2 linked regions of the Macaca mulatta genome follow. Each later gene encodes a partner of the first gene's protein in a complex. Links are inferred from orthologs where the notes say so. Each region holds a gene or a part of one and is shown on either strand. Other genes may lie near its edges. The genes, in order: PEAK3 and YWHAB.

Region 1 (15,196 bases):
CACCTGAGACACAGTTCACACCTGGGACAGGCACAGCTCACACCCGGGACACAGTTCACACCCAGGACAGGCACAGCTCATGCCTGGGACATATAGCTCACACCTGGAACACAGCTCACACCCGAGACACAGCGCACACCTGGGACAAGTACAGCTCACACCCAGAACACACAGCTCACATCCGGGGCACACTCAGTTCACACTGGAACACACAGCTCACACCTGGGACATGCTCAGCTCACACCTGAGACATGCTCAGCTCACACCTGAGACACAGGCACAGCTCACACTGGAACACACAGCTCACACCTGGGACACACAGCTTACACCTGGGACATGCTCAGCTCACACCCGAGACACAGCTCACACCTGGGACAGGCACAGCTCACACCCAGAACACACAGCTCACACCCAGGACACACTCAGCTAACACCCAGGACATGCTCAGCTCACACCCAGAACACAGAGCTCACACCTGGGACACACACAGCTCACCACACCTGAGACACACACCTCACACCCAGCTGACACTAAAACCAGGCCCTGGGCACCAGAACTGACCACAGAGGCAGGCAGGGCTCTCGTGAGAGCACAGCTCACACCCGGGACATGCTCAGTTCACACCTGGGACAGGCACAACTCACAACTGAGACACAGCTCACACCTGGGACACACAGCCCACCCCAGCGCCTGCTCAGCTGAGCATCTCCCAGCCGACCTCAGGGCCTGGGCTCAGGTCTGCTGAGGACCCAGCACACGCAGCGGTTACAGTCAGGGGCCCCCACGCCCTGTCCTCCGTCCTCCCCACAGCCCAGCAGGGCTGTCCGCAAGGAGGAGCCATTGCCCCAGCCCTCCACCTCCCTCCGCTGCCACTTGCTTCTCAGAACAGTTGGCAAGAGAGGGCCACCCCACAAGGGAGAGGTAGCCACCCTGGCCCCGGCCCAGGACCATGGCTTCTGGGGTCCTGAGTGTCCCTCTAAATGGGTCTACTGGAGGGACCTTTGCCTCTAGGTACGCATTGACCCCTGAGCCAGCCTCAGACAAGCCCTGAGCGTGGCCCCATCATGCCCGGCTCTGCTGACTCATGGCTCAGGTGGGGAACAAGACCAAAGAGCACAGGGGGTTCCCGGGGAGTCCCTGCTATGTGCATTGCAGAGGCAGTGACAAGAACAAGGCCGAAACAAGGGCTTCACCCTGCAGGAAGGCCTGGACCCGGGTCCTTGGAAGAAGGTGATAGAAGAACATTGGTCTCTGCACCTGCAGTGGTTGGGCAGATCTAGGACCAAAGCTGGGGTCACAGGCTGACTGCAGCTCAGGTCAAGGAAAAGCTTCCCCGAAGTCACTGCCCTGTTGCTCTACAGATGGTGAGCTCCCCGTCACGGGGGGTAAACAAGGAGGAGCTGAGGTTTTGCAGAAGGATTCAGACACTAGACAGGGACCATAGGGACCATCTGTGACCTGGCCTCCTCATAGCCAATTTTTGCCCCTCCCCCTCCACATCCTCCAGAGGACAGTTAGGACATTGCTGGGGGCAGGGACAGGAACCATTGTTGGGCCAAAACCTCAGTCAGAAAGGGCTTGGCTGCCAACCGAGAGGTTAGGACAGACCCTCCAGGACTTTGCAGGAAGGGCTCAAAAGCAGCTCTGCTGCTGCCCAGCTGTACGATCTCAGCTGGTGACCGAAGATCACCTAGACCATCAGTGTCCTCATCTGTAAAATGGGTCTGAGGGTCAAACCTATTACCCTGTATTCAGAGGCCAGGCCTGCAGATGGGCCTGATGGCTTGACTTGGATCCTGGATCCCTCAAGACTGCTCTGAGATCAGTCAGAGAGAAACAGAGAGAAAGCCGGCTCAGCCCTGGAGGGTGTTTGAGCAAAGGTTTCAGACGGAGCTGCAAGGCGACGCCGGCCCATTCTCCCTGAGCTGTGGCCGGGAGGGCCCAGGCCTGCACCACGGTGTACAGACGGTCCAGGGGGCTCGACATGAGTGAGGGTGAAGTTCCTGTAACCCCAACCGCCACCCCTGAATTGGGCACAACCAATTATTTTCTTCGCACCTGCCTGACTCTGCTTACCATGACAACCCCAAGGGCCTCCCCAAAATTGATATCCAAGTGCCTTTAGCCTATCAAAGACAGGAGGGGGTGCATTCTCGGTCATGTTAGGGTTCACAGAGCATCTGTATATTAGGATTTCCCAGCCCCCTGAGCTCCCCACCCCATCCCAACATGAACCAAGACCCCTCAGTCCCCCACCCCTCATCCTGCTGTATTTGGTTCAAATCCAATAAAAATGGAACCGATTTAATAACAAACTTCAGATTTTGTTCTTACTCCCGTGGGAGCAACAGGGGGCAGGGCTGAGGGATGAGGGGCTGCTGGGGTCCCCAGGGGAAGCCAACCCTGAGAGAATTCCACGCCACTAGTGACGTGTGATAGGCCACACTTCTGCAGCGCCCATGCTGTTCCCAGCGCTGTTCCAGGCGCTGTGTGTGTTGCCTCCTTTCACACTGAGGCCAGCCCTGCGAGCTGGGTGGATCCTGTTAACGAACCCATTTTACAGATGGGTCGAGCGAGGGGCAGAGAATGGAGGGAAGCCGCTCTGAGACCCCAGCTAGGGACAGGTGGGGGCTGAGAAGAGTGGGCAAAGCTGGGCCGTTGGGAAACTCCCTCCCCAGCCTCAGGCCAGGGAAGAAAGAAGACATGGGTCCCCGCGGTGCCTCCTGGAATTGGCCTGTCGGGGAGTCTGGGTGCTGCTGACAGGGTCCCACGTCTGCCCTGCCTGTCTCTGAGGGCTCCCAGAAAAACCAGGGAGTCTTGGCTTTGGAAGTGAGATTAATAAAGTGCTTTAGCCCGCGCCAGTCCTCACTGACAGATGGGGAGATCGAGGCACAGAGCAGCAACAGATGGGGAAGCCGAGGCACGGAGAGGCGACAGGTGGGGAAACTGAGGCACAGTGGGCGTGAAGGCTCAAACCCCACCCACCCAGGAAGGCACAGGGAGAAGCTCGTGTTTTTTCAGGAAGGAGGTGGACGGAACCAGAGTGCAGAAGTTCCAGCCAAGAGCAGCCTCCCACTCGCCACAGCCCAGTGTCGGTCTCCGGACCTCGGTTCCCCCGTTTGAACCTAGGACTAAGGTTCCTTTACTTCCCTGCCCTTCGGGGGCAGAACAGAGGCCCGTCAGGGACTGTGAGGCGTCCCTCTCTCCATGCCTGGTTTCAAGGCAGCTGGAGGGTGAGGGGGGCTCTAGGCTGTGGGACTCTCCGGTGGGGACTGATTTCCCGTTCTCTCCTGCAACAAAGGCAGGTGAAACTATTGTCCTGTGGGCCTCAGAGTCCCCATCCAGGAGAGCCGCCCGTTCCCCGTGCAACGCTCTGAGTGCCTGACATGAACCAGGTGCAACCTCCAAGCTTTCCATGAATCCTGTCTCCTTTATGGGGTGCCCTGCGGGGAGGGCAGGGGAGACCTCAGAAGAGGCCCTTCCTGCTCAGGCAGCCAAGACCCAACTAAAGTAACACCCATCTCCTTGGTGGCTGGAAACCCAAGACAGGATCCCTAAAACCAGGACGGGACCAAGCCATCCTCATGCCTCATGTCTGGGTGGCTTCTGACCAAGCCTGCCTTGACTTCCCCTCCCAGACAGAGCTAGGACCAGCCCCAGCCCACGCCTGCACCCTCGTGGGTCTCTCACCCCCATCTTCTGGACGTGGACGCGTGTTTGGGGTGTCTCTCTCTCTCCCACATCCCCCCAGCAAGCCGACATCTTTTCCAGGTGATTCCTTGAGCCCCGCATATTAACTTCCCTCCTGTTTTCCTCCGCAAGACAGAGACACGATTCCCACACGCAAGCTTTTGCTCGTGGGGCCAAGGGAAGCTGGAGCTCAGGTCTCTGGCTTCCATTGCTGCGTGGCCTGGGGCAAGTCACTGCCCCTCTCTGTGCCTCGGTTTGTTTGTCTGTAATTTGGAAGATAATAATCCTGCAATAGGCTGGGCATGGTGGCTCACATCTGTAATCCCAGCACTTTGGGAGGCTGAGGCGAGTGGGTCACCTGTGGTCAGGAGTTCGAGACCAGCCTAGCCAACATTGTGAAACCCCATCTTAACAAAAAATACAAAAATTTGCCGGGTGTGGTGGCAGCCGCCTGTAATCCCAGCTACTCAGGAGGCTGAGGCAGGAGAACCACCTGAATCCAGGAGGCGGAGATTGCAGTGAGGCAAGATCGTGCCACTGTGCTCCAGCCTAAGCAACAAGAGGGAAACTACCTCAAATAATAATAATAATAATAATAATAATAATCCTGCAATAGTTCTGTGGTATGCAGGATAAAAACTGCATGAGTTTCCTACAACTGCAGTTACAAATGGCCACAAACCTAGTAGCTTAAAATAACTTAAAATTATGATCTGACAGATCTGGAGCCCCAAAGTCGAAAATCAGCAGGGCTGTTTCCTCCAGACGTCCCAGGGGAGAATCTACTTTCTGCCTTTTCTGGCTCCAGAGCCGCCTGCATCCGTGGGCTCGTGGCCACATCATTCTGACCTCTGTTTCGGTCATCACGTCTTCTTCTCTAACCCTGAGCCACCTGCCTTCCTCCTTACAAGGACCCCTATGTGGACACTGAGCCCCCCAAAAATGAAGATCTCCCTATCTGATGAAAGGTAGCAGAATTCCATCTGCAACCTTGATCCCCCTCACCAGACAGCTGCCTCGTCAGATTCCGGAGATGAGGACACAGGAGCTTTTTGGGGCTGTTATTCTGCTTACTAAAAAAAACCAAAAACAAACAAACAAAAAACGGGTCAGGCACAGTGGCTCCTGCCTGTAATCCCAGCACTTTGGGAGGCCGAGGCAGGGGGATCACTTAAGGTCAGGAGTTCAAGACCAGCCTGGCCAACATGGTGAAACCCCATCTGTACTAAAAATACAAAAATGACCCAGGTGTGGTGGACGTGCGCCTGTAATCCCAGCTACTCGGGAGGCTGAGGCAGGAGAATCGCTTGAACCAGGGAGGCGGAGGTTGCAGTGAGCCAAGATCGCACCACGGCACTCCAGCCTGGCGACAGAGTGAGACCCTGTCTCAAACCAAACAGGCATTTTTCTCCGAAAGGCCAAAGTCATGTGAAATCCATCAGCATGTGGCCCCCCTGCCCCGTGCTGGGCAATGCTGGAGACCCAGAGAGAATGTGGTCCCAGCTCCCGCAGCTCAATAAGGGCCTCTCAAATGAAGGGACAACTGTAGGATCTGGAGGGGCCTGATCCAGAGGCCACACCACACTATGAACTTTTTTCTTTTTTTTTTTGAGACAGAGTTTCACTCTTGTCACCTGGACTGGAGTGCATTGGCACAATCTTGGCTCACTGCAACCTCTGCCTCCTGGGTTCAAACGATTCTCCTGCCTCAGCCTCCTGAGTAGCTGGGATTACAGGCGCAGGCTACCACGTCTGCCTAATTTTGTATTTTTAGTAGAGACAGGGTTTCACCACGTTGGCCAGGATGGTCTCGATCTCCCGAGCTCAGGTGATGTGCCCGCCTCGGCCTCCCAAAGTGCTGAGATTACAGGCATGAGCCACCATGCCCAGGCTTTTTTTTTTTTTTTTTTTTAAATGGAGTCTTGCTGTGTTGCCCAGGCTGGAGTGCAGTGGTGGGATCTCAGCTCACTGCAACCTCTGCCTCCCAGGTTCAGGTGATTCTCCTGCCTCAGCCTCCAGAGTAGCTGGGATTATGGGTACCCACCTCCATGCCCGGCTAATTTTTTGTATAGGCATTTGACCAGCTTTTGCATCATTTTAAACTCTGTGCCCTGGCCAGGCGCAGTGGCTCACGCCTGTAACCCCAGCACTTTGGGAGGCCGAGGTGGGCAGGTCACCTGAGGTCAGGAGTTTGAGACCAGCCTGGCCAACATGGTGAAACCCTAACTCTACTAAAAATAATAATAATAATACAAAAATTAGCCAGGTATGGTAGCCGGTGGCTGTAGTACCTTGGGAGCCTGAGGCAGGAGAATTGCTTGAACCCGGGAGGCAGAGGTTGGAGTCAGCCAAGATTGCGCCACTGCACTCCAGCCTGGGCGACAGAGTGAGACTCCACCTGAAAAATAAATAAACAAGGCCGGGAGCGGTGGCTCAAGCCTGTAATCCCAGCACTTTGGGAGGCCGAGACGGGCGGATCACGAGCTCAGGAGATCGAGACCATCCTGGGTAACACAGTGAAACCCCGTCTCTACTAAAAATACAAAAACTTAGCCGGGCGAGGTGGCAGGCGCCTGTAGTCCCAGCTACTCGGGAGGCTGAGGCAGGAGAATGGCGTGAACCCGGGAGGCGGAGCTTGCAGTGAGCTGAGATCCGGCCACTGCACTCCAGCCTGGGTGACAGAGCGAGACTCCGTCTCAAAAAAAAAAAAAATTAAAAAATTAAAAAAATAAATAAATAAATAAATAAACAAAATAAAAACTAACCAGGCATGGTGGTGCACGCCAGTGGTCCCGGCTACTCAGGAGGCTGAGGTGGGAGGATCACTTGAGCCCAGGAAGCAGAGGCTGCCGCGAGCTATGATCACACCACTGCACTCCAGCCTGGGCGACACAGTGTAGGTGACGGAGCGAGACCCTGACTCAAAGAAAAAAAAGTATGGCATGGGACCCACTCGAAGGATGTTCATAAGGGAAAGGTAGTCTCCTTCCTCTCCTTCCCTTTCTCAGGGGATTGGGGGAGGCCAGGGAGACTCAGCAGTGGCTCTGTGGACCTCTGCTCCCAGCCTCGAGCTGCTGTGTGACCCTGGATGGAGCCCATATTGTCTCTGGGCCCATTTCCTTCAGGGAAATGGGATCGGGAACCCCTCATGAAACACACTCAATCTTTGCTGCAAGAACATCTTTGGGGCCGGGCAGGTTGGCTCACACCTGTGATCCTAGCACTTTGGGAGGCCGAGGCAGTGCAGCAGGACGAACCGCAGACAAAACTCCTTAGACACTGGATTAAAGAAGGAAGTGGATTATTCGGCCGGGAGCATCGGCAGACTTGTGTCTTAAGAGCCGAGCTCCCCAAAAAAAACATTCTTGGCCTTTTTAAAGACTCACAAGTTTAAAGGGTCCATGTGAAAGGGTCGTGATAAATCGAGCAAATGTGGGGAACGTGACTGGGGACTACAGGCATGAGCTAACAGACCAAAAAGTTTTACAATGCTTTTTCCATACAGTGTCTGGAATTTACAGACAACACAAGTAGTTTAGGTCAGGGGTCAATGTTATTATTATTACTTTTTTTTTTTCTTTTTTTTTTTTTGAGACGGAGTCTCGCTCTGTCGCCCAGGCTGGAGTGCAGTGGCGCGATCTCGGCTCACTGCAAGCTCTGCCTCCCGGGTTCACGCCATTCTCCTGCCTCAGCCTCCCGAGTAGCTGGGACTACAGGCGCCCGCCACCACGCCTGGCTGATTTTTTGTATTTTTAGTAGAGACGGGGTTTCACCGTGTTAGCCAGGATGGTCTCGATCTCCTGACCTCGTGATCCGCCCACCTCAGCCTCCCAAAGTGCTGGGATTATAGGCGTGAGCCACCGCGCCCCGCCTATTATTACTTTTTTTAACTCCTAGGGCCGGATGGTTTTGCCAAGGTTGTCTGGCTATTTATCTTACTTTTGTTTCTTTCTAACTGTTTGCTTTGTCTCTCTCCTCCTGTCTTGTGAACTAGGCAAGGTGAGGGGAGGAGGGCAGCAGGAGGAGTAGTGGGCTCCTTCCCTAGCCAGAGGATCGCCCCAGGAGTTCGTTGCAGGCTGCAGTGAGCTGCGATTGCCCCACTGCGCTCCAGCCCGGGCAACAGTGTGAGACCCTGTCTCCAAAAAAAAAAAAAGAAGACAGTTTTGACAGGCACACACTTCAGCTGGAATTTCACCCCGCGTCTGCTTTTCCTTGGGTTTTTTCCATTCTTGATTTTTCCATTTATGGTGATTTTATCTACAACGTCTTTTCTAAATAAATGCATCGAGGCAGTGAGGAAGGGGGAAGGGGGAAAGTGAGCCGATTCCGTTTTTTCAAAGAGAAATCCAGCAGGCGGGGCTGTTACCAGGCGGGATGCGGGAGACGCTTTTCTTTATTGGCCAGAGCACGGAGAGGGGCGGGGATTTGTCCACAGTCACACAGCCAGGCGCGGCAGAGCCCGGAGGGTCCTCGCCCACACTCCGCATTCGGGGGCCCTGGGATCGGGCAGGGGGCCGCTGGGGGCTCCTCAAGATGCTGCCACAGGAGGGGAGGCGGTTCCCGGGGAAGTGAAACCCACAGACCCCACTTTCACCTTCTCCAGGGACAGCCGTCACCACGTTCTGTGCCCTCCCTACGGTGGGCCAGCTCTGCCCCTCTGCCCATCTCACAGGGCTCCTCACTGCCCCTACCCCAGCCTGGCCTCTGAGGCTGTCAGCCCTGGTGCTATTGACTTTCAGATCCCACCTCCTGGTCTCCGTCCGGGCTGTTCCCTCCGCCCGGGATGCTGTTCCCGGCTACATCCTGTCCTCTGAGGGCGGGCAGGGGAGGGGGCGGCCGCAGTTGGTGGGGAAGTGTTGCCCAAATGCCCCCGCCCCACCCCGGGCTGCGGTCTGACAGTTGGCCGGACGTTTTCCTGTCAGCTGCCGGCGCTAGGTCAGACCCCTCCTGCGAGGCCAGGGGCTGTGGCCATTGGGAGTTCGTCCCCCAGGACCCCTCCTCCCCCAGAGGGCACGCCAGTCTTGAAGGTAGGGGGCTCCTGGAGCAGGGAGCTGGACAGAAGCGGTTACTTTTTCAGGTTGGGATCTGGGCGGGGGTGGGTTGGGGCCTGGTTGCCGACAGCAACCGCACAGCTGAGCCCTCAGGGAGGAGGCCTGAGTGTGGATCCCTGGGTCCCTGGACACTGTCTCCCCCACAACTGACCCCCAAAGACCTGTTCTCAGGCTGAACATTCTGTCCCCATCCCAAATGTGCAGTGGGGGTTCCTTCCCACTGCCTGGAAGATTGATGGATGACACACCTGCCTCATGATTGAGGAAGTAGGCCCAGAGAGGGCAGGAAACCCACTCGGGATCACACAGCAGGGTCAAAACTGGACAAGGGAGTGGAGTGTGGGTGCCCCTGTTCTCACCAAGGGCCCTGGAGCAGGGGGCCTCAACGGTCTCCCATGCTGTAGCACTCACGGACCCCTCCCATGTCGCCCTGTGCGTGTGCCACCCCACCACGCCCCGTCTGACCTTCCCCCAGCAACATGAGCAGCCCGGAGACTCCCACAGAGCCCCCCGAGCCCGACGACCCCACCTGGTCGACTCAGCCCACATATAGCAACCTCGGTGAGCAGCTCCCCGGGGAGCCCTGGGCCGGGGGCGTGCAGGGAGCGGCAGGGGGTGGAGGACACCGTGGCCTCTGGGAACAGCAGCAGTTGGTAAAATGAGTGACCTCAGGAAGGCCCGGAGTGGGCGAGGGCTGAAAAATAACCTGTGGGTTGGTGGGCGGGGTGTGTTGGCTCACGCCTGTAATCCCAGCACCTTGGGAGGCCGAGGCGGGTGGATCCCTTGAGTCCAGGAGACCAGCCTGGGCAACATAATGAGACCCCCCCAATCTCTACAAAAAAAAATAATAATAATAAGATGGACATGGTGTCAAGCGCCTGCAGTCCCAGCTACTGGGGAGGCTGAGGCAGGAGGATCCCTTGAGCCCAGGAGGTCAAGGCTGCAGTGAGCCATGAATTGGAAAAAAATATATACCATTAAAAAGAGAGAGGGAGGCCGGGCGCGGTGGCTCAAGCCTGTAATCCCAGCACTTTGGGAGGCCGAGACGGGTGGATCACGAGGTTAGAAGATCGAGACCATCCTGGCGAACACGGTGAAACCCCGTCTCTACTAAAAAAAAAAATACAAAAACTAGCCGGGCGAGATGGCGGGCGCCTGTAGTCCCAGTTACTTGGGAGGCTGAGGCAGGAGAATGGCGTAAACCCGGGAGGCGGAGCTTGCAGTGAGCTGAGATCCAGCCACTGCACTCCAGCCGGGGCGACAGAGTGAGACTCCGTCTCAAAAAAAAAAAAAAAAAAAAAAGAGAGAGGGGCTGGGCACGGTAACTCATGCCTGTAATCCCACCCTTTAATCCCAGCACTTTGGGAGATCAAGGAGGAGGATCACTTGAGGCCAGGAGTTCAAGACCAGTCTGGCCAACATGGCAAAACCAGTCTCTGCTAAAAATACAAAAATTAGTGGCCGGGCGCGGTGGCTCAAGCCTGTAATCCCAGCACTTTGGGAGGCCGAGAAGGGTGGATCACGAGGTCAGGAGATCGAGACCACCCTGGCTAACACGGTGAAACCCCGTCTCTACTAAAAAATACAAAAAAACTAGCCGGGCGAGGTGGCGGGCGTCTGTAGTCCCAGCTACTCGGGAGGCTGAGGCAGGAGAATGGTGTAAACCCGGGAGGCGGAGCTTGCAGTGAGCTGAGATCCAGCCACTGCACTCCAACCTGGGTGACAGAGCGAGACTCCGTCTCAAAAAAAAAAAAAAAAAAAAAAAAAAATTAGCCAGACATGGTAGTGGACGCCTGTAATTCCAGCTACTCGAGAGGCTGAGGCAGGAGACTTCCTTGAACCTGGGAGGCAGAGGTTTCAGGGAGCCAAGATTGAGCCACTGTACTCCAGCCTGGGCGACAGAGGGAGACTCTATCTCAAAAAAAAAAAAAAAAAAAAAAAAAAAAGGCCGGGTGCGATGATTCAAGCCTGTAATCCTAGCACTTTAGGAGGCTGAGTCAGGCAGATCGCCTGAGGTCAGGAGTTTGAAACCAGCCTGGCTAATATGGTGAAACCCCATCTCCACTACTAAAAATACAAAAATTAGCCGGGCATAGTGGCGGGTGCCTGTAATCCCAGCTACTCGGGAGGCTGAGGTGGGAGAATCGCTTGAACCCAGGAGACAGATGTTGCAGCGAGCCGAGATTGGGCCACTGCACTCCAGGCTGGGCGATAGAGCAAGACTTAAAAAAAAAAAAAAGCCAGAGAGACACCTGCCCAAAGTCACAGAGGTAAGAGTAGGAGTCGCTGAGTGCTGGGTGGCACCATTCTCTGAAACTGATCCATCCTCCTATGAGCTTCAGTTTCCTCTTCTGTAAGCTCTGTCCCCCAGACTGGAGTGCGGTGGCGCAATCTCGGCTCACTGCAAGCTCCGCCTCCCAGGTTCAAGCCATTATCCTGCTTCAGCCTCCCGAGTAGCTGGGACTACAGGCGCCCGCCACCACGCCTGGCTAATTTTTTGTATTTTTAGGAAAAGACGGGTTTTCACCGTGTTAACCAGGATGGTCTCGATCTCCTGACCTCGTGATCCTCCCGCCTTGGCCTCCCAAAGTGCTGGGATTACAGGCGTGAGCCACCGCGCCCGGCTGCGTCTGGCAAATTTGTTTAAATTTTTGCAGAGAGAGGGTCTCACTAGGTTGCCCAGGCTGGTCTCAGACCCTAAGTTCCAGTGATCCTCCTGCCTCGGCTTCCACCTTCCTAAGTGCTGGGATTACAAGCATGAGCCACCGGCGCCCAGCCTTATTACTTCCATGTTAGAGATGGGGAAACCGAGACTGAGAGGTGGAGTCACGTGTCCCGTTCCCATTCCGCCTGTCTTCAGCCCTCCCCACTGTCTCTCCCTGCAGGTGAGATCCGTGCCCACCTGCTGCCCTCCAAGGCCTGCCGCCCCCGGACCCCTGGGTCCTGCTCCACCGACCCACAGCCCCTGCCCCCACCCCTGCCCAAGAAAATCCTAACCCGGACCCAGTCACTGCCCAACCGCAGGACCTCCCATGCCAGTTCCATCCAAGTACAGCTGCCTCGGAGGCCCTTTCTGGGGTCCCACAGTGTGGACAAGAGCCAGGCTGAGGTGGGACCAGCTTGTCCCCCTGCAGAGCTGACCTTTGGCCTGACTGATGCCCCGCTGGGCCTCTCTCTCCGCAATCTGCACAGTCCAGAGGCTGTGCACGCTGCATTGGCTGCCCAGCAACTGCAGGGCCTCCATGCCATCTATGCCCGGCTCCGTGCCCGGTTCATGGGGGGCCACCCCGGGCCCTGCCGCCCTGGCCACGGCTTCCGCCTCCTGGACAGCTCGCCCTGCGCAGAGAGCGGGGATGCCCTGTACTACCGCGTGGTACGCGTGCATGACGACGCCTGGCACATCCTGGTCGCCAAGGTGAGACCCACGGCCCCACCTTCTCTAAGGTGTCCCCAGTGTCCCATCTTAGGCATAACTCAGGGCTTGTTTCGCTTGGCCTTTCTGTGAGTCAGTTCTCTCACTGCTGTAAAGAAATACTGGAGCCCAGCGCTCACACCTGTCATCCGAGCACTTTGGGAGGCCACAGCGGGCGGATCACGAGGTCAGGAGATCGAGACCATCCTGGCTAACACGGTGAAACCCCCGTCTCTACTAAAAATACAAAAAAATTAGCCAGGCGTGATGGCGGGCACCTGTAGTCCCAGCTACTTGGGAGGCTGAGGCAGGAGAATGGCATGAACCTGGGGGGCAGTGAGCCAAGAATGCGCCACTGCACTCCAGCCTGGGCAACAGAGCGACTCTGTCTCAAAAAAAAAAAAAAAAAAGAAAAGGCTGGGCAGCACAGTGGCTCACGCCTGTAATCTCAGCACTTTGGGAGGCCAAGGCGGGCAGATCATGAGGTCAGGAGTTCGAGACCAGCCTGGCCACATAATGAAACTCCGTCTCTACTAAAAATACAAAAATTAGCCAGGCGTGGTGGTGTGCGCCTGTAGTCCCAGCTACTTGGAGGCTGAGGCAGGAGAATCGCTTGAACCCGGAGGTGGGGGTTGCAGTGAGCTGAGATTGCACCACTGTATTCCAACCTGGGAGACAGAGTGAGACTCTGTCTCAAAAAAAAAAAAAAAGTAAAGTAAAGAAAAAAAGGAATACTGGAGACTGGGTCATTTATAGAGAAAAGAGCCTTAACTGGCTCATGGTTCTGGTGGCTTCTGCTTCTGGAGAGGCCTCAGGAAGCTTCCAATCATAGTGGAAGGCGAAGCGGGAGCAGCCATCTCATATGGTAGGAGCAGGAGGAAGGGAGGGAGGAGGTGCCACGCACCTTTACACAGCCGGATCTCACGAGAACTCACACGCTATCCCAACGACAGTGCCAAGGAGGATGGTGCTGAGCCATTCATGATAAACTACCCCCCAAGATCCAGCTACCTCCCACCAGATCCCACCTCCAACACTGGGGATTACAATTGGCCATGAGATTTGGTGAGGACACAGATCCAGACCGAATTAGACTTGTTTATTTTGCAACTAACACGTGAATCAACACAGTTAACCCAGGAAACCCTGTTTCTAAAGTGTGGGGCCATGGATATGGCCTTGGAGCCCTCGTCAAAGCCCCTCCCACACCTCTCTGGACGGGATCTGTTTTTTTGTTGTTGTTTTTGGGTTTTTTTTGTTTTTTGTTTTTTTTTTGAGACAGAGTCTCACTCTGTTGCCCAGGCTGGAGTGCAGTGGTGCGATCTCCGCTCACTGCAACCTCCGCCTTCCGGGTTCAAGCGATTCTCTCATCTCAGCCTCCGAAGTAGCTGGGATTACAGGCGCGCCACCACGCCAGCTAGTTTTGTATTTTTAGTAGAGACGAGCGTTCCCTGTGTTGACCAGGCTGGTCTCGAACTCCTGACCTCAGCGATCCCCCTGCCTCCCAAAGTGCTGGGATTACAGGCGTGAGCCACCGTGCCCAGCCCAGGAATCTGCTTTCGAACTCATTGCCCAGGGACACTGCCACCATCTTCTTCCCTGGCTTAATTTTCCTAAAAGCCCTTACTGGTGACTGACTACCCAATTAACATGGACCTCCTGCTGCTGGAGGGATGCGGGCAGTCTCCCACCCCCAGCCATAGTGGGGGCAGTTTGGGGGTGAGCGGGGGAGACTTCGTGGCAGGTCGCTCTGGGGCGGGCAGTGCTGGTGGGGGGCCCAGTGATTCAGGCCCCTTCACCCCCTCTGCCTTGCAGGTACCCAAGCCCGGGGCGGACGTGCCCCACCCGTGGGGCCTGGAGCTGCAGGCCTCCCTGTCTCCACACTTCAATCTGCAGGGGTTGTGTGGCGTGGTGCCTGAAGGCACACTGCCCGGGGCGCCCTGGAGAGGCGCGGTGGCGCTGGCAGCGGAGGTGCCGGAGCGCACGGTGGCGCAGTGGCTGGTGGAGGCCTGCACGCAGCCGCCGGAGGAGTTCGTGTGGGCCGTGGCCCTGGTGCTGCTGCAGCTGAGCGCGGCCCTGGAGTTCCTGGAGGCGTGGGGCGCGGCCCTGGTCGAGTTGCGGCCAGAGAACTTGTTGCTGGCGGCACCTCGGGGCTGTGCGGCGACTGGGCATGCGCGCCTACTCCTCGCTGACTTTGGCCGCGTCTGTCTGCAGCCCCCCGGACCCCCGGGCTCCCCGGGCCCCCACGCGCCGCAGCTGGGCAGCCTCCTCCGCGAGATGCTCGGCCTTGCTGCGCCCTCGACCACGCCTTTGACCGCGGGCCTGGAGCGCCTGGCAGCACAGTTGACCCGCTTGCAGCCCTCGGCGTCCCGGACGCGGGGCGCGCTGCAGGCGCTGCTCTGGGGGCCGGGGCCTGAGGTGCGCGGCCGCGGAGCGCCGGTCGGTCCCTGGCTCAGGGCGCTCGGGCCCTGGCTGCGGTTGCGCCGTGGGCTGCTGGTCCTGCGCCTGGCAGAGCGGGCCGCAGGTGGGGAAGCGCCCAGCCTCGAGGACTGGCTGTGTTGCGAATACCTGGCCGAGGCCACCGAGTCCTCTATGGGCCAGGCCCTGGCGCTGCTGTGGGACTGAACCCAACCCAGGGCGAACACACCTGGTCCAGGCCTGCCCAGGAGGCAGGGCTGGGGCTGAGGTCAGCGTCTCTATGATCGCCAAGACGACCTCCTCCTGCCGAGTCCAGGGACGCAGCAGAAAGAGCAGCGCCCCCCTCCAGAGTCTCCCCTCTCGTGCTGGCGATGTGGGTCAAGGGCTTCCCAGGAGTGCAGCTACCCCTGCAGGGCTGGGGGCTGGCCAGCGCCTCCTGTGTGGGCAGCAGCTGTCTGAAGCCAGCAGGCCACTTCCAGGTGTGGACACCCCCGCTGATCAGTGTCTCTCTGTATTCCACCTTCCCCGGCAGCCAGGGCGCTTTTCCGCGGTGGGTCCTGTCATTGTCTCCCTGAGAGGCCAATGCCGGGACCAGAGCATTCCTGGCCCTGGAGCACCCCCTTGT
Region 2 (15,245 bases), on another chromosome or scaffold:
AAGCACATATCACATAAAGGACTAGTATGCAAAATATACAAAGAATTCTTAAAATTCAATGATAAAAAAGCAAACAATCCAATTTAAATAAGTGAAAAAATCTGAACATACACCTAACCAAGGAAAATATACAGGTGGTAAATAAGCACATGAAAAGATACTCAACATTGTATGTCATGAGGGAATTGCAAACTAGAACAATGAGATACCATTACACCCCTATTCAACTGGTTAAATTCAGAAAAACAAAAACACAAACAACAACAAAAAACCCTCACTATATCAGATGCTGGCATGAATATGGAGCAGCAGGAGCTGTTATTGTTGGTGGAAATACAAAATAGTACAGCCCCTTTGGAAAACAGTTTGGTAGTTTCTTTATTTTTCATTTATTTATTTATATATTTATTTATTTATTTGATAGAGTCTCATTCTGTCGCCCAGGCTGGAGTGCAGTGGCATGATCGCCTCAGACTGCCAAATAGCTGGGATTACAGGCACCTGCCACCACGCCTGGCTAATTTTTTTTTTTTTTTTTTTTTTTTTTTTTTTTAGTAGAGACAGGGTTTCACCATGTTGGCCAGGCTTGTCTTGAACTCCTAACCTCAGGTAATCCACCGATCTCAGCCTCCCGAAGTGCTGGGATTAGTGGCGCATTCTCGGCTCACTTCAATCTCTGCCTCCTGGGTTCAAGTGATTCTCTTGCCTCAGCCTCCCAAGTAGCTGGGACTACAGGCATGTGCCACCACGCCCAGCAGATTTTTGTATTTTTAGTAGAGATGGGGTTTCACCATGTTGGCCAGAATGTTCTCGATCTTTTGACCTGGTGATCCACCTGCCTCGGCCTCTCAAAGTGCTGGGATTACAGGCGTGAGCCACCGTGACCAGCAGCCTATTTTTATTTTTACTGTTTTTTTAGAGATGGGGTCTTGCTGTGTTGCCCAGGCTGGAGTACAGTGGCTATTCACAGGCACGATCCCACTACTGATCAGCACGGGAGTTTTGACCTGCTCCGTTTCCAACCTTGGCCAGTTTACCCCTTCTTAGGCAATCTGGTAGTCCCCTGCTCCCGGGAGGTCATCATATCGATGCTGAACTTAGTGCAGATGCCCAGGCAACATAGTGCACTGCAGCCCAGAACTCCTGGCCTCAAGTGATCCTTCTGCCTCAGCCTCCTAAGTAGCTGGGACTATAGGCATGCACCACCACACCCGGCCAGTTTACTAGTTTCTAACAAAGCTAAACGTCGTCTTAACATATAATCTAAGAGTCACACTCCTAGGTTGAAAACTTATGCCCACGCAAAAACCTGCACACAGATGTTTACTGCGGTTTTCTTCATAATTGTCAACAGCTGGATCCAGATATCTCTCAGTAGGTCTATCAGTTCCCTAAGCCTGCCATAACAAAGGGCCACAAACTGGGTGGCTTCAAACCACAAAAACGTCTTCTCTCACAGTTCTGGAGGCTAGAAGTCTAAAATCAGTGTGACAGCAGAGTCGTGCTCCCTTTGAGACTCTGAGTAGAATCCTTTCATGCCTCTTCCTGGCTTCTTGTGGTGCCCAGCAATCCTTAGTGTTCCCTGGCTTGTAGCTCATCACTCCAGTCTCCGCCTCCATTGTCATGTGTTGTTCCCCATGTGTGTCCTGTCTTCAGATGGCATTTTCCTCCTTCTTTAGGGCACCAGCCACATTGGATTACAGCCCACTTGAATGACCTCATTTTAATTGATTATACTGCAAAAGCCCTTTTCCAAATAAGGTCACATACACAGATACCAAGGGTGAAAGCTTCAACATATCTTTCTGGAGGATACAAGTCAATCCTTAAGAATAGGCTAATGGGACGGGCGTGGTGGCTCACGCCTGTAATCCCAGCACTTTGGGAGGCTGAGATGGATGGATCACCTGAGGTAAGGAGTTCAAGACCAGCCTGGCCAACATGGCAAAACCTCATCTCTACTAAAAATACAAAAATTAGCCAGGCATGGTGGCATGCACCTATAATCCCAGCTACTCGTTTGAACCTGGGAGACGGAGGTTGCAGTGAGCTGAGATCATGCCACTGCACTCCAGCCTGAGCAACAGAGTGAGACTGTCTGGAAAAAAAAAGAATAGGTTAATGGATAAACATACTGTGGCAGATTCATACCAGGGGATATTTTTGTTTGTTTGTTTTGTTTTTTTGTTTGTTTTTGAGATGGAGTCTCACTCTGTTGCCCAGGCTGGAGTGCAGTGGCGCAATCTCGGCTCACTGCAAGCTCCGCCTCCCAGGTTCACGCCATTCTCCTGCCTTAGCCTCCAGAGTAGTTGGGACTACAGGCACCCGCCACCACGCCCGGCTAATTTTTTGTAGTTTTAGTAGAGATGGGGTTTCACCGTGTTAGCCAGGATGGTCTCGATCTCCTGACCTCGTGATCCACCTGCCTCAGCCTCCCAAAGTGCTAGGATTATAGGCGTGAGCCACCGTGCCTGGCCACAAGGGAATATTTTTAAGCAATCGAAAGAAATAAGTTATCAAATCATAAAAAGTCATGAAGGAAACTTAAATCACATTGCTCAATAAAACAATCCAGTCAGAAAAGGCTACATATGGGCTGGGTGCAGTGGCTCACACTTTATTACCCAGCACTTTGGGAGGCCAGGGCAAGAGGATTGCTTGAGCCTGGGAGTTCAAGACCAGCCTGGGTAACATGGCAAAACCCCATTTCTATAAAAAATACAAAAATTAGCTGGGCATGGTGGCACATGCCTGTAGTCCCAGCTACTACGGAGGCTGAGGTGGGAGAATCACTTGAACCCAGGAGGTCGAGGCTGCAGTGAGCCGTGATTGCACTACTGCACTCCAGCCTAGGTGACAGAGTGAGACTCTGTCAAAAAAAAAAAAAAAAAAAGAAAGAAGGAAGGAAGGAAGGAAGGAAGGAAGGAAGGAAGGAAGGAAGGAAGGAAGGAAAACGTATTGTATGATGCAACTATATGACTTTCTAGAAAAGGTAAAACTATAGTGTAAAAGGTCTGTGGTTGCCAAAGGTTGAGGTGAGGGGAGGGAGTGAGGGATGAAGAGTTGAAGAAAAGATTTTTAGGACAGTAAAACTTTTATTTATATACATGACATTACGCATGTGTCGAAACCTACAGAACTATGTACAACATAAAGAATAAACCCCAATGTAAACTATGGACTTTAGTTAATAATGATGTATTAATACTGGCTCATCAATTGCAACAAATGTACCACTCTAATACAAAATGTTAATAATAGGGTAAATTGTGTGGAGGAGGGAGAGGGAATGTTTGAACTCTAATATCTGGTCAATTTTTCTGTAAACCAAAAACTGTCCTAAAAAATTAAGTCTATTGGCCAGGCACAGTGGCTCACACATGTAATCCCAGCACTTTGGGAGGCCATGGCAGGAGGATCACTTGAGGCCAGGAGTTTGAGCCCAGCCTGGGCAACATAAATGAGACCCCGTCTCTACAAACACATTTTTAAAAATTAAGTCTATAATTTGAAAAAAGATTCATTTCAGTATATAAGGCTCAAGTATCATTTCTTTCAGGAAATCTTTCCCGCTCTCCCACCATAGTCCCAAGATGGGTTCGGTGCTCTTCTCCCAAGCTGCCATAATACCCTGCACATATTTTTATTTCTATGGTTGCACCTACCACATTGTATTTTAACATTTCTCTGTATTGCTGTCAATTCACAGCTGTGGTTTGCTGACCGTTGGCCTAGAATGCAGAGATGGTGAAATAATCTAATCCATGCAACCCTTAAACAGGCACCTAGGAATGCCTGACAAAGGGCACTTCTGTTCCCTCAATGCACTGTTGATGTCATTTGTGGTACAATCATTATTAGCCCTCTGGTCTGTTAGGCTATTTTCTGGATGATAGCATAAGGCACAGTTATGTGACATTAAAGGTTACTTAGCCTGAGTAGTCTTTAGATTACTGGCCTTGGGTCTGCCAAAGACCATCCTCATGGGGAAGTTTTTGCACTAGGAAACCTCTCCAGGATTCAAATCCAATGGTTTTGACTCAAATCATGCTGTTAACATCACACAACACATTCTCAATCTTGTTCAACTTAAAAGGTGGTACAGTACAGGGGTCACTGGCACACACGCCTACATGACAGATAACATAAGTGACGAAAACAGACTCAGGTCGAGAAGGGTTCCTGACACTTGGGAAAGTCCATACCCAGTCTAGAGTAGGCAGCCACTCCTTGGCTTCAGCCAATTGTTGCCACACAGAAATGTGGACACGGTGTTACCAGACAAGGTGTAGAGGCAGATTTCTGTTCACACAGAAACTTTTCAGTTTAAAAAAGTGTTGGCAACTAAGTCAAACTGCTTAGAAATACTGGAGATGGCATATTGGGAAGGTAAGGAATCATCCAATTGAATTGTGGTATTTACGATGGGGGAGAAATAGCAGCTAAAGGATAAGGGCAGCTTTTGGAGAACGCTGATTGTCTCAAGGAACTTACATATTGTCATCTAGGTCTGAGTGCACACTAAATAATTTAAGCAAGAACAGGACACGATTAGAATGGTATTTTTAAAAAGATCACTTGGCAGTTGACGGGCGAGGCTGAGAGTAAAACAGTGAATTAGAAGTCTGTCATTTAGCTAAGTAAGGGTAAAGGCAAGACGGCAAAGGCCTATTTACTTGGTTCTTTCTCCTACCCGACTGCAAACTCCAAGACAGCAGGGCCCCATCTGCCTTGTTCATTGCTGTGTCTCCAGCACTAAGCAAAAAGTCTGTTCCACATTTGTTGAAAGAATAAATGAACAGGAGAGAGGGAAGGCGAGAGGCATTTTGAAGGACTGAGTTTAAAAATCAACTACCTTGAAGCCGGGCAAGGTGGCTCATGCCTGTAACTGTAATCCCAGCACTTCGAGAGGCTGAGGCGGGTGGATCACCTGAGGTCAGGAGTTTGAGACCAGCCTTGCCAATACGGCGAAGCCCCGTGTCTACTAAAAATACAAAAATGAACCGGGAGTGGTGGCATGCCCCTGTTATCCCAGCAACTCAGGAGGCTGAGGCAGGAGAATTGCTTGAACCTGGGAGGCACAGACTGCAGTGAGCCAAGACTGTGACACTACCTGGGCGACAGAGAGAGACTCTGTCTCAAAAACAGAAAACAAAACAAAACAAAATCAACTACCTTGAGAGGAGTAGAATGTCGGTAATTGTGAGAGCAGTCATGAGGGGAGGGGAGCCATGGAAGCCTGTTTCCTTCCCTGAACTTCCTCAAGGAGGGGGCATCTTAAAGACGGAATCATGTACACAGATTTTTGTGGGGTTTTTTTGGAGACAGGGTCTCACTCTGTCGCCCAGGTTGGAGTGCAGTGTCATGACCATAGCTCACTGCAGCCTACAACTCCTGGCCTCAAGCAATCCTCTCACCTCAGCTTCCAAAAGTGCTGAGACTATAGGCGCGAGCCACCGCGCTCGGCCCTACACAGGTTTTTGAAAAAGACCTTTGTGCGTTGGATTCCTGGCACTTCAAGTGGCCTCTTCAGTCTACCAAAGAAGGAAAAAGTAAGTACTCCGAAGGATTGAAAGGAGGATTAAGGGAACATTGAGGGATGAGCAATTTCTGTTCTTCCCTAGCTCCACTATTCCCAAAGCACACAGCAAGAGGACTGACATCGGCTTCCGACACCGTGAGGATTACTTTCTGGGTGGAGGGGGGACTGCTAAACCTCGAGTCTCCGTACCTGGCCCTGGCGCGTTTCCAGTCTGAGCAGAAAAGGAAACCCCCACCCACACCTCACTCCTAGTCCTCCGGGTGCCTTTACAGCCCGTATCTTGACCACCCCCAGCTCCGCCCTCTCTCCTCCCACCTCCTTTTCCCGCTCCCCCGCCCCATTTCCTTCTTCTCCGCCCACCTCCTCCTGGGTCCCTCCCCCGGCCATGCGCCCTGCCCCGGCCGCGGCAACCCTGCCCTTCGTTCTTCTTCCTCCTCCCTTCCGTCAGCGCCCCTCCCGTGGGGCCGCGGCAACCCCGTGCCTCGCTTGCCCAATGAGAACACGGCGTGGGGCGGGGCGCGGCCAGGACCGGAGCGGAAGTGGCGACCGGAGCGGAAGTGGAGCTGCCGCCACTGCCGCCGCCGATTCCGGAGCCGGGGTAGTCGCCGCTGCTGCAGCCACTGCAGGCACCGCTTCCGCTGCCTGAGGAGTGGGCTTGGGAAGGAAGAGGTCATCTCGCTTGGAGCTTTGCTCGGAAGGGTCTTTGTTCCCTGCAGCCCTCCCACGGTGAGTGCGGCGCGGGGTCCGACCGGGGCCCCCGGGGGCCCAAATTCGAAGCCCCTCTTTGGCAGCTGCGACGACGGCGGCCCAGCGGGTGGGCCCCGGGGGATAGCGGTGCGCTGCCTCTTCCGCTTCGCGCGGCCGCCGGCGGCAAGGCCAGGCCTCGCAGCGGCCCCTCCCTGTTTCCGGGGCCGGGCCCTGTACCTCTTGGAGAGGCCCGGGCCTCCCTCGCCGCCTAAGGTCCTGCCGGCCGGGCGGGGTGCAACTCTGTGCTGCACCGTGAGGGACAGCGGAGCCGAGGGTCCCGGACTCTCCCTCACTATCTGATTCGGTCCCTCACGCGACCCCTCCCTGCGTCTTGGTCGGCAAGAACCGTCCTCTTCAGCCCAGTCACCTCTGCTCCGTGCTTTCCGGTTTCCAGAAATTAAAATTTAATCAAACGCGGGTGAGTTTTCTAGCCCCAGTCCCCCTGTTTGACTCCTCCTGGATGAGTAAGGGGTTTAACCTTGGGAGACAGCAGTGGGGGAACCCCCTCCCATTTTGCAGTAAAACCATTTCATCATCCTTAACTGGTTATGGAGCCTGGCAGGACCCAAGATTCCCTAGGAAGGGAATTGGGTTTGAATCAAGAAAATGTGTTTGTTGGAGCCGGTTACTGAGTCAGGCCGGATCCCCAGGAAAAAATATCGGGATGAGAATCGGAATATTTTCCCACAGTATTTACCGTCATTTAATGCCAAATTCTTTTGTGTCTTTACCCCAAATTCCCCCTATTGTGTGTTAGCACGTTTTTCGGTCTGAAATTTGCCCGGTGGCTTCCTGGTCGGGGGGTGGGGAGCGGAGGGAAGAAGAGGTGGGAAGGTGAGTGCATCTTTGCCGCAAATGGAGAACTCCCATATAATGAGGTTTCCAGAGGTGGCAGCCTTGGTAAGCAATTTGCCAGCCTTTCTGTGAAATGCATGTCTCTTGTCGTTGCCTTCATTGCATTTCTCTTTGGTAAGGCTAGATAGCATCAGGTCCTGATTTTGCTTACCCTGTGTGGGAGATGGAATTTGGCAAGATGATGCTATGAACATAAAATCAGCCTGCCACGGAAGCCAAAACAGAAAGGTGAAGCACTTATAAGAATATGAAAATTGTCTGCATTTCTCATTCTGTCAGTTCATATGAAGCCAGACACAGATGCAATTTATGGAGCTGGACGCTGCAGCTTTTGCATTTTCATGTTGGAAATTTATATAAGTATTTGTTCTTGGTGAATTTCTTCTTGACTGCTTCCAGGGTACCCTATTTCTTACTTAGGGATATCTCATTTGTTTGAGCCCTCATTTTTCTTGGATTCCTGTCCTTGGCAACACGAAGTGTATGAGTGTACAACCTGTCAATCTTATTGGACCTAAGTTAGAAATTTAAGTGTGGCTTTCAAAATGGAAGGCAAATAATCCTGTAGCAACTGCAGAATTATTTTCCTAGCCTGCCCCTCCAATGAGATAAGAAACCATTCACCTATCTTGCAGATGAAGTCTTTATGAGAAATGAGGTGATTTGGCCTAGACTCTACACCTAGTTTTTTTCAAATTGAATATCCTCATTCATCAGTAGCAAATATGGATTGCCAGCCCCTGGAGTATGACTCCTACCCTATAATCTTTTGTACATTTCCCGTCTTGCAGTGCTTGCTATATTGAAGCCATTTTAGAATTGGAGCACTATAGATCAGGGAGGCAGCCTGTATAAAACCAGGCTGAGCAAATTCCCACGATGCTGGTTCTCTAGGCAGAGTCTCCAGAGATTTGGGCCTCTACAAAAAGTGCATTTTGCCCATTTGGCTGTGGATAGAGAAGCAGAAAGAGCACTGGACTTGGAGTCAGGTAAATTTGGTTGAAATCTTGCCTGCAATATTTTCTAGCTTTCTGAATCTTCAGCATGTTAGTCTGTGGTTCTTAGTTTTCTTATCTCCAGGGTTATCATTAAGCCTTTTTTATAAACTGTAAATTGTTAAATATAAGCTTTTGGTTTTTTAATTAGAGTTCACTATTAATGGCTTTTTCTCTCCAGTTAACATCTGATGACACTAAACCCTGCTTTGTACACAAGTTGCTTTCAAAAAATGGTATATTATTATGGGACTTTATTTTGCATGTAGGCAAATCTAGTCTTTCTGAATCATTTTCTCATCTATATAGCGCAAATGGTAATGCAGCTTTGGATAATTTTTGTTGTGACAAGCTCAATGAAAATAAGCATCTGGGATATAGTTGGGGTTCAATAGATGTTTAACCATCTGCATGAATATACACGTGTATAGATTAGACATAGCGTATGTGCTATTCATGGACATCTATATAGAATCCATCCATTTGTGATTTATCTGATGAGGTGGTATCAATTAGTCTATAATAATAATTACCACTTACAGTACTTACTGTGTGCTAAGCTTTCTTTTAAGCACTTTAAGCATATTAGCTCAGTCTTCATAACAACCAATGAAAGGTAAGACTATTAGCCCCATTTTACAGATGAGGAAACTAAGGCACTGAGAAGAATAATTTTCCCGAGGTCTCACACACAGCACAAGGTAAGTGCCAGAACCAGGAATGAAACTAGATGATCTGGTTGTAAGGAATGATATTATAGATTTCTACGTGTGGTAGAGACAGCACATGTATATGTTTTGTGTGAACACCATTTAGACCTTAATTTTTCTTCACACCAATCCTAATAAACGTTTGAATGGGAATACTAGCTATTTTTGAAGATAGATACAGGACGATTTATTGTGGAGCATATACCCATTCTGGCCTGTAGGGATGATATTGTTAGCATGCATCAGGAAGCAAGCTTGTGAACAATCCAGTTTTTCTAGTACTTGCTTCATACTAGGGAGAAAGTCATCAGTTACTTTGGCATAGAATGTTAGGTTCTTCATCTAAGAGAATTTGATTATGACCATTAATTTTTGTTTATCATACTACTTTATCAGTAGATGTTCAGATTTTTCTTATTTTTGTTGGCAAGGAGGAAATGAGGAAATATATCTACGTAAATAGAGAAAAACTTCTAAATTAAAACATCCTGTTGTGCTACCTGCTCTTTCAGTGCCAACAAACTGAGTTTTCCTTTAAATGCTGGTACCTTAGAGAATGAACTAAAATTTCCTTGTAAAGGTACTTTTAAGTTCCTTGTTTCTACATTTTTCTAGGGAAAGATGACAATTCACTAGTTTAAGGGGCAAGAAATTATGGTTATATAATAGCAACCTTTAAGCTTTAGAATCCTTTTGATCTCTATGTGAATATGATCTTAGCAGTCATCTGTATGTCATGATGGAGAAACTAACGAGCTGGATTCTGAGGGAATTTTTCTGAGGGGAATACTTGAGGAAACAGACTAAAAGTGCTTTCTGTGTCATGATAAGTGTGCTGAAGGCCAATCATATTACTGCTTTCTCTACTAAAAGATTTTCTAATAGAGGTATGGTTATATGTATCTAATACTCATAATGAGATGTAAATGATCAATGGCCTCAAGTCATTCCTAGCAGATTGTAGGTTAGTTGACTTCTTTTTTTTTTTTTAATTCTGGCCAGTTCTTTATTATCTAAGTTTTTCCCTTACTGGTTATTTTATTGTTTTCCCTAAGAGAACCAACAGGAAGTTATTTCCAAATGGCCTTGATCAGGACAAGAAGATTGAAGGCTACAATAAAGTAGATATGAGTCCTATTATTATTATTTGCCCTCAGCTAAGAGCTTTCCTTTAAAATTTGACATTTTGATGAGTCTTTGGCGTGTTTTATGCTGTTTTTAACTCCTTGATTTTGTTTTTGTTTTTAAAGGTAGATATGTTAGCTTAATAGGCCAGTTTTAAAATTTCACTGTAACAACTTTGTATAGTTCTTTTAAAAATTGGCAATTCCCTTTTCCTTAAATGAGTTTTGGAGATCATAATTAATCTTTAGGATATAGGGTTACATAAAGGCAAGAACATTAATTTTAAAATTAATGTTGGTTTAGATCCCAGACCTGCCATATATAGCTGTGTGACCCTGAATGAGTTAACTCTTTGCGTCTATAAAAGGGGACGATGTCACCTGCCTCATAGGATACTTAGGATCAAATGCGTTTCTAGGAATCCCTGAGTGCTTTGCAGGCCATAAATGATGGATGGATATTTTTATTATTTACTAAACGAGTTAGCTGGTTTGGGTTTTTGTATAGTGAACTTTTTATATAGCGAACTGATTGGACTTCTGAATGGAGGAGATGAACAGAAAGTAATCCAAAGGCCTGTTGAAAGTCAGTTTGAATTGGCTGGGCTCAGTGGCTCATGCCTGTAATCCCAGCACTTTGGGAGGCCGAGGCAGGCGGATCACGAGGTCAGGAGATCAAGACCATCCTGGCTAACAAAAAATTAGCCGGGCCTGGTGGCAGGCGCCTGTAGTCCCAGCTACTTGGGAGGCTGAGGCAGGGGAATGGTGTGAACCTGGGAGATGAAGCTTGCAGTGAGCCGAGATCGCGCCACTGCCCTCCAGCCTGGGCAACAGAGCGAGACTCCATCTCAGGAAAAAAAAAAAAGTCAGTGTGAATCTATAAATACAATGATTGGTAGCTGAAAAGTATTAGTCAAAATGTATAGTGTTGCCTCCTGATTTAGAGCTGGCTGGCTGTTTTCAAAAAGTAATCTAAGACTATAAAAACAGTCTATATTTTAAAGGTCAGATGTGCACTACCTTCCTCTGTCCACATAGGAGATAATTGCTTTTTCACTTTTTAAGAATGCATCAGGTGATCAAGTAGTCACTCAGTGTGCTAGGCCTTGTGCTCCACATTGGGGGTCCAAAGATACAAGTCTGGATTCCTACCTTAAGCTCACAATCCAGTGTGGGAACCAGCAGAGACACTTGCATTGCAGTAAACTGTGATAAGGGCCATTTTAGAAATAGGCATAGGGAAATTGTTGTGTGCCTTTCTTTTAAAAGTCTTTCAGAAGCAGAGTACGTGTAAAATAAATGAGGTACATGGTAAGTTTCCCTTCACTGGCTGACCATTTGTTTTTAAGTTTTGTGTGGAATGTACTGTGGTTGCCATTTATTCGAGTGCTTAATGTTTAGCATCATAAACAGGTTTACTCCTTACAGGAACCCTAGTGAGAAGATTTGCCTATCTTTTTTTTTGCAGAGTCTCGCTCTGTTGCCCAGGCTGGAGTGCAGTGGCATGATCTCAGCTCACTGCAGCCTCTGTCTTCAGGCTGCCTCAGTCTCCCAAGTAGCTGGGATTACAGGCGCCCACCACTATACCCATCTAATTTTTTAATATTTTTAGTGAGACGGGGTTTCACCATGTTGGCCAGGCTGATCTTGAACTCCTGACCTCAAGTGATTGCCCTCCTCGGCCTCCTAAAGTGCTAGGATTACAGGCATGAGCCACCACGCCCAGCCGAGATTTGCCTGTATTATGGATGAGAAAACAGATTCACAGAGGTCACATAGCCTATGGACTTGGTGTGCGGTACTGGTAACTCAGACTGATTGGCTTCGATATGTCAGTGGGCCCCAAACTGTAGAAATCTATTCATGAGGTCAACCAATTGGACTGTCTTTATGGATCAGAATTAACATAGTGTCTTTTGGTTTGATTACTTAAAGTCAAGAAGTCAATTTATTGTCATATCTACCATTAAGTCACATGTGTAACCTTGCGCCTGTTACTTAACACCCTCAGTAAGTTTAATCATGGCTAATTGGACATAATTAGCAGTGAAATTCAACAACTGATATGAAAGAGGGGAAGGGATTTTGAAATAATAGAAATGCAGTTTCTCTCCAAATTCAGTGTTCACTGGACATAGTGCTAAGGACTTTGTATTACAGATATGCTGTGTTTTGTTTCCTAACAAAGAACCTGCAAATGTTTGAATGGAATTAAATTTATTACAGGACTCTAAATTTTATGTGTAGAATGGCACACAGACATTTTTATAGTGGGTGTTTTTTAGTGAGTAGTTTTCTCTGAGAGCCAGGAGTGCTTAACTTTTTCTGGGTAACACCCACTAACCACCTGGTCCCACTGACTTTCTCAGTCCCTCCTGCAGTAGCTTGGCATCTGATTTTTCTTCAGCAGAGTGACTCCAGAACTAAAACTTCTACTTTACAGTGCTGTGGATGCTCTATCTAGAATGGTACATCTGTGAATGCTGTTCAGAATATGTGATCAGTTCCTTACCCCATTGAAACATTTGAGCCTAGATTTTTCAGATTCTCCTGTCAGTTTTCTTCCTTGTTCTCATTTCTTTATCTGCTTTGGCCTTTGATTTTTATTTCATCTAGAAAAACATACATGCACTTTATTAATAACATCTCTTTTTAAGTCATGACCTAGCTACCTTTAAACCTCTTTCCTCTAATTCTGTCTGGTTGCTTTTCTAAGGAGAGGCATTGTAACCCTTAAACATGTGCTGTTTTTTTTTTTTTAATTGATGCATAATAGATATACATGTGCTCTTTTCTTGTGTTTCTACCACTAGAGTTTAAGCTCGCTGAGGGGAGGACTACACTGCTTTCTTTTAAATTCCTCTCAGTAATCCAAAGAGTTCTTAGAAATTTGGTAGTTTTTCATTTTGTAGTTATTTCAGCACACATTGGATTATATGTGTTACATTTTTGTGAGGTAGCTTAAGAAGAAAGAATAAGAATGGCTATGAGCCTTTATTCTAACCAACACTATACGGGCATTTTATGTTCATTATCTTATTTGATAGCTATTAATGTCTCCTTTAAACACTGAGAAAACAGATTCAGATAAGTTACAATGTGGAAATGTAGAAAAATCACCTACTTTCTCTTTAGAAGCTCAGATGTGTATGTAAGGCTTGCTAGAAGCAGACCCCACCATATATTTTGTATGTATAGAGCTTGGGTAATTCCTGGCATATAATAATGGAGTCCTCATTTGAAATTTCCAGCAAATTATTAAACTCAAAGCTTATTATTTTAGAATTGAGCATGTTCACTTTTAAAGGCTACAGCTGTCATTTTCAACTCTATCTTTGCAGTGCCTTTATTAAAAAAAATGGATTAGCAATAGGTAATCTTCTTTTTCTTTTCTTTTTTGATTCTTATCCTAGGATATCTGCTCTAGCCACTGGGAAATAACTTCTCAGTATTTTGACCCTGACTAGAAAGATATCACTTGGGGAAGGAATTGAGATAGAGGGGCTAGGCTGTTTCCTAGATCCTCTATTTTCAGCATTTATTATCTGATTTAGGATTTTCTTCAAAGAAAGAGTGCCTTTAGAATTATGTTTCATAGCTGTTTATCTGCACTCTTGATTTCTCTTTTTAAACAGAAAAACACTTTTTTTCTTAAAAAAATAAATAGTACCAAAATTTTTAAAAAGTAATACATACTTGAAGAAAATTCAGAAAGATAAGAAAATGAGGATATAATAATGTTATTACCCAGAGAGACAGCCAGTGTTAACCATTTGGTGTTAACCTTTCTTTTTGGGTTTGTTTGCTGTTGAGGGGATATTTTACAGAAATAAAATATTATTGTGCAACTTCCTCCCCCCAGCCTCCATTGCTCTTAAATAAGTCTTTTTATGACGTTAAAGCTCTTCTTTTGATGGCCACGTAATCTTGTACCATCTATCTCTCCCCCCACCCACCTTTTTTTTGAGATGGAGTTTCACTCTTGTCGCCCAGGCTGGAGTGCAGTGACGCAATCTTGGCTCACTGCAACCTCCACCTCCCGGGTTCAAGTGTTTCTTCTGCCTCAGCCTCCCGAGTAGCTGGGATTACAGTACTGCATCACCCCGGCCAATTTTTTTGTATTTTTAGTAGAGATGGGGTTTCACCACGTTGGCCAGGCTGGTCTGAAACTCCTGACTTCAGGTGATCTGCCTGCCTTGGCCTCCCAAAGTGCTGGGATTACATGTGAGCCAGTGCACCTGGCCAGTCTCCTTATTTTTTAAACCGTTCCCATATTGTTGGATATTTAGATTTGCTTCCATTTTTTCACTAAGCAATCTCTGCGTTTATCAACAAATGCTTCCCAGTCCTGACTTGCTGCATCCAGTGGCTTGGAACAGATTGACAGCCATCATCATCATGTAGGTGTGCTGGAGAGCTCCTGTTCTCAAGCATGTCAGTCTCTTCCTGAAATGTGCCCAGCACAAGGAAAATCTCTTGACTTACTGCAGGGTTGGGCCCTTTGTGGCCTCTAATGAGTTTGCCTGCCCCAGTATCTTGACGCTTCTGTAGTGGTGCCAGGCCTGATGATGAGACCATAGTCTTTCAAAAACTTTTTAGGAGACAAATAAAGAGTATCTTGCTGACTTTTTTTTTTTTTTTAGTGGGAACCTCATTCAAAGTCTTGGAACAACAGTAGGTCTTGATTAAAAACCATCATGGCATATCACTAGAAAATTTAATTAGAAACTAACGGATAAACTTCAGCTACAGTTAACATGTGTGTTCATTTTAACATAACATACTATCTATACAAGATTAATCTAGATTTTTGCTTTTACTTCTCACAAAATTATATATTTGAAAAGAAAATTCAAGCTTATGGTTTTGTGGACTACTACAGTGTAATAGTCGTGGAGAAGAATAATAGTACTTCAGTTTGATTTTGCACTATGCATTTTTCAAGGAAAATTTCCACATTTAGTATTCTTTAATTCCCTGCCCCTCATCTTCACAGCAACTCTCCTGAGGTAGATGCCATCTTTATTTTATGGATTGGAATGAGATTTAACATGCTTACATGGCTGTATAGTGGCATATTGCACTGTGTCACACAGTCCTGCTGCCTTCTGACTGTACTGCATATAGGTACTCTGTGTTCCTTGTGCTCTCCCAATAATGATTTGTAGAAAAACTTGATATTCATTTGCATATGGGTTTTGTGCTTAGTACAGTTGTAAGCATTAAATGTGAAACAAATATGAAGCTTTCCTTTGAGGGCACACAAGTGAAG

What was found.
Region 2: the proteins of PEAK3 (region 1) and YWHAB are in contact, whole or in part, in a cryo-EM structure (PDB 8DP5), measured with the Homo sapiens proteins. The link is inferred for Macaca mulatta from reciprocal best matches to the Homo sapiens genes PEAK3 and YWHAB. Residues at the interface, in NP_940934.1 of Homo sapiens: Arg66, Thr67, Gln68, Ser69, Leu70, Pro71, Thr72, Arg73; in NP_003395.1 of Homo sapiens: Val48, Lys51, Asn52, Arg58, Lys122, Arg129, Tyr130, Gly171, Leu174, Asn175, Val178, Glu182, Ile219, Leu222, Asn226, Leu229, Trp230.

Annotation. Positions count from the first base shown.
Region 1 is NC_133424.1:3,021,647-3,036,842, reverse strand, and holds the start of PEAK3 (protein PEAK3), read left to right. Parts: upstream 1-7,919; 5' UTR 7,920-8,473; coding exon 8,474-8,717; exon of another isoform or gene 8,718-9,220; coding exon of another isoform or gene 9,221-9,337; exon of another isoform or gene 9,338-9,543; intron 9,544-11,437; exon of another isoform or gene 11,438-11,601; coding exon of another isoform or gene 11,602-11,626; coding exon 11,627-12,156; exon of another isoform or gene 12,157-12,568; intron 12,569-13,968; coding exon 13,969-14,778; 3' UTR 14,779-15,196.
Region 2 is NC_133415.1:97,731,868-97,747,112, forward strand, and holds the start of YWHAB (14-3-3 protein beta/alpha), read left to right. Parts: upstream 1-6,190; 5' UTR 6,191-6,268; exon of another isoform or gene 6,269-6,707; intron 6,708-7,071; exon of another isoform or gene 7,072-7,144; coding exon of another isoform or gene 7,145-7,189; intron 7,190-8,038; exon of another isoform or gene 8,039-8,133; intron 8,134-15,245. UniProt on the Homo sapiens protein: Adapter protein implicated in the regulation of a large spectrum of both general and specialized signaling pathways. Binds to a large number of partners, usually by recognition of a phosphoserine or phosphothreonine motif.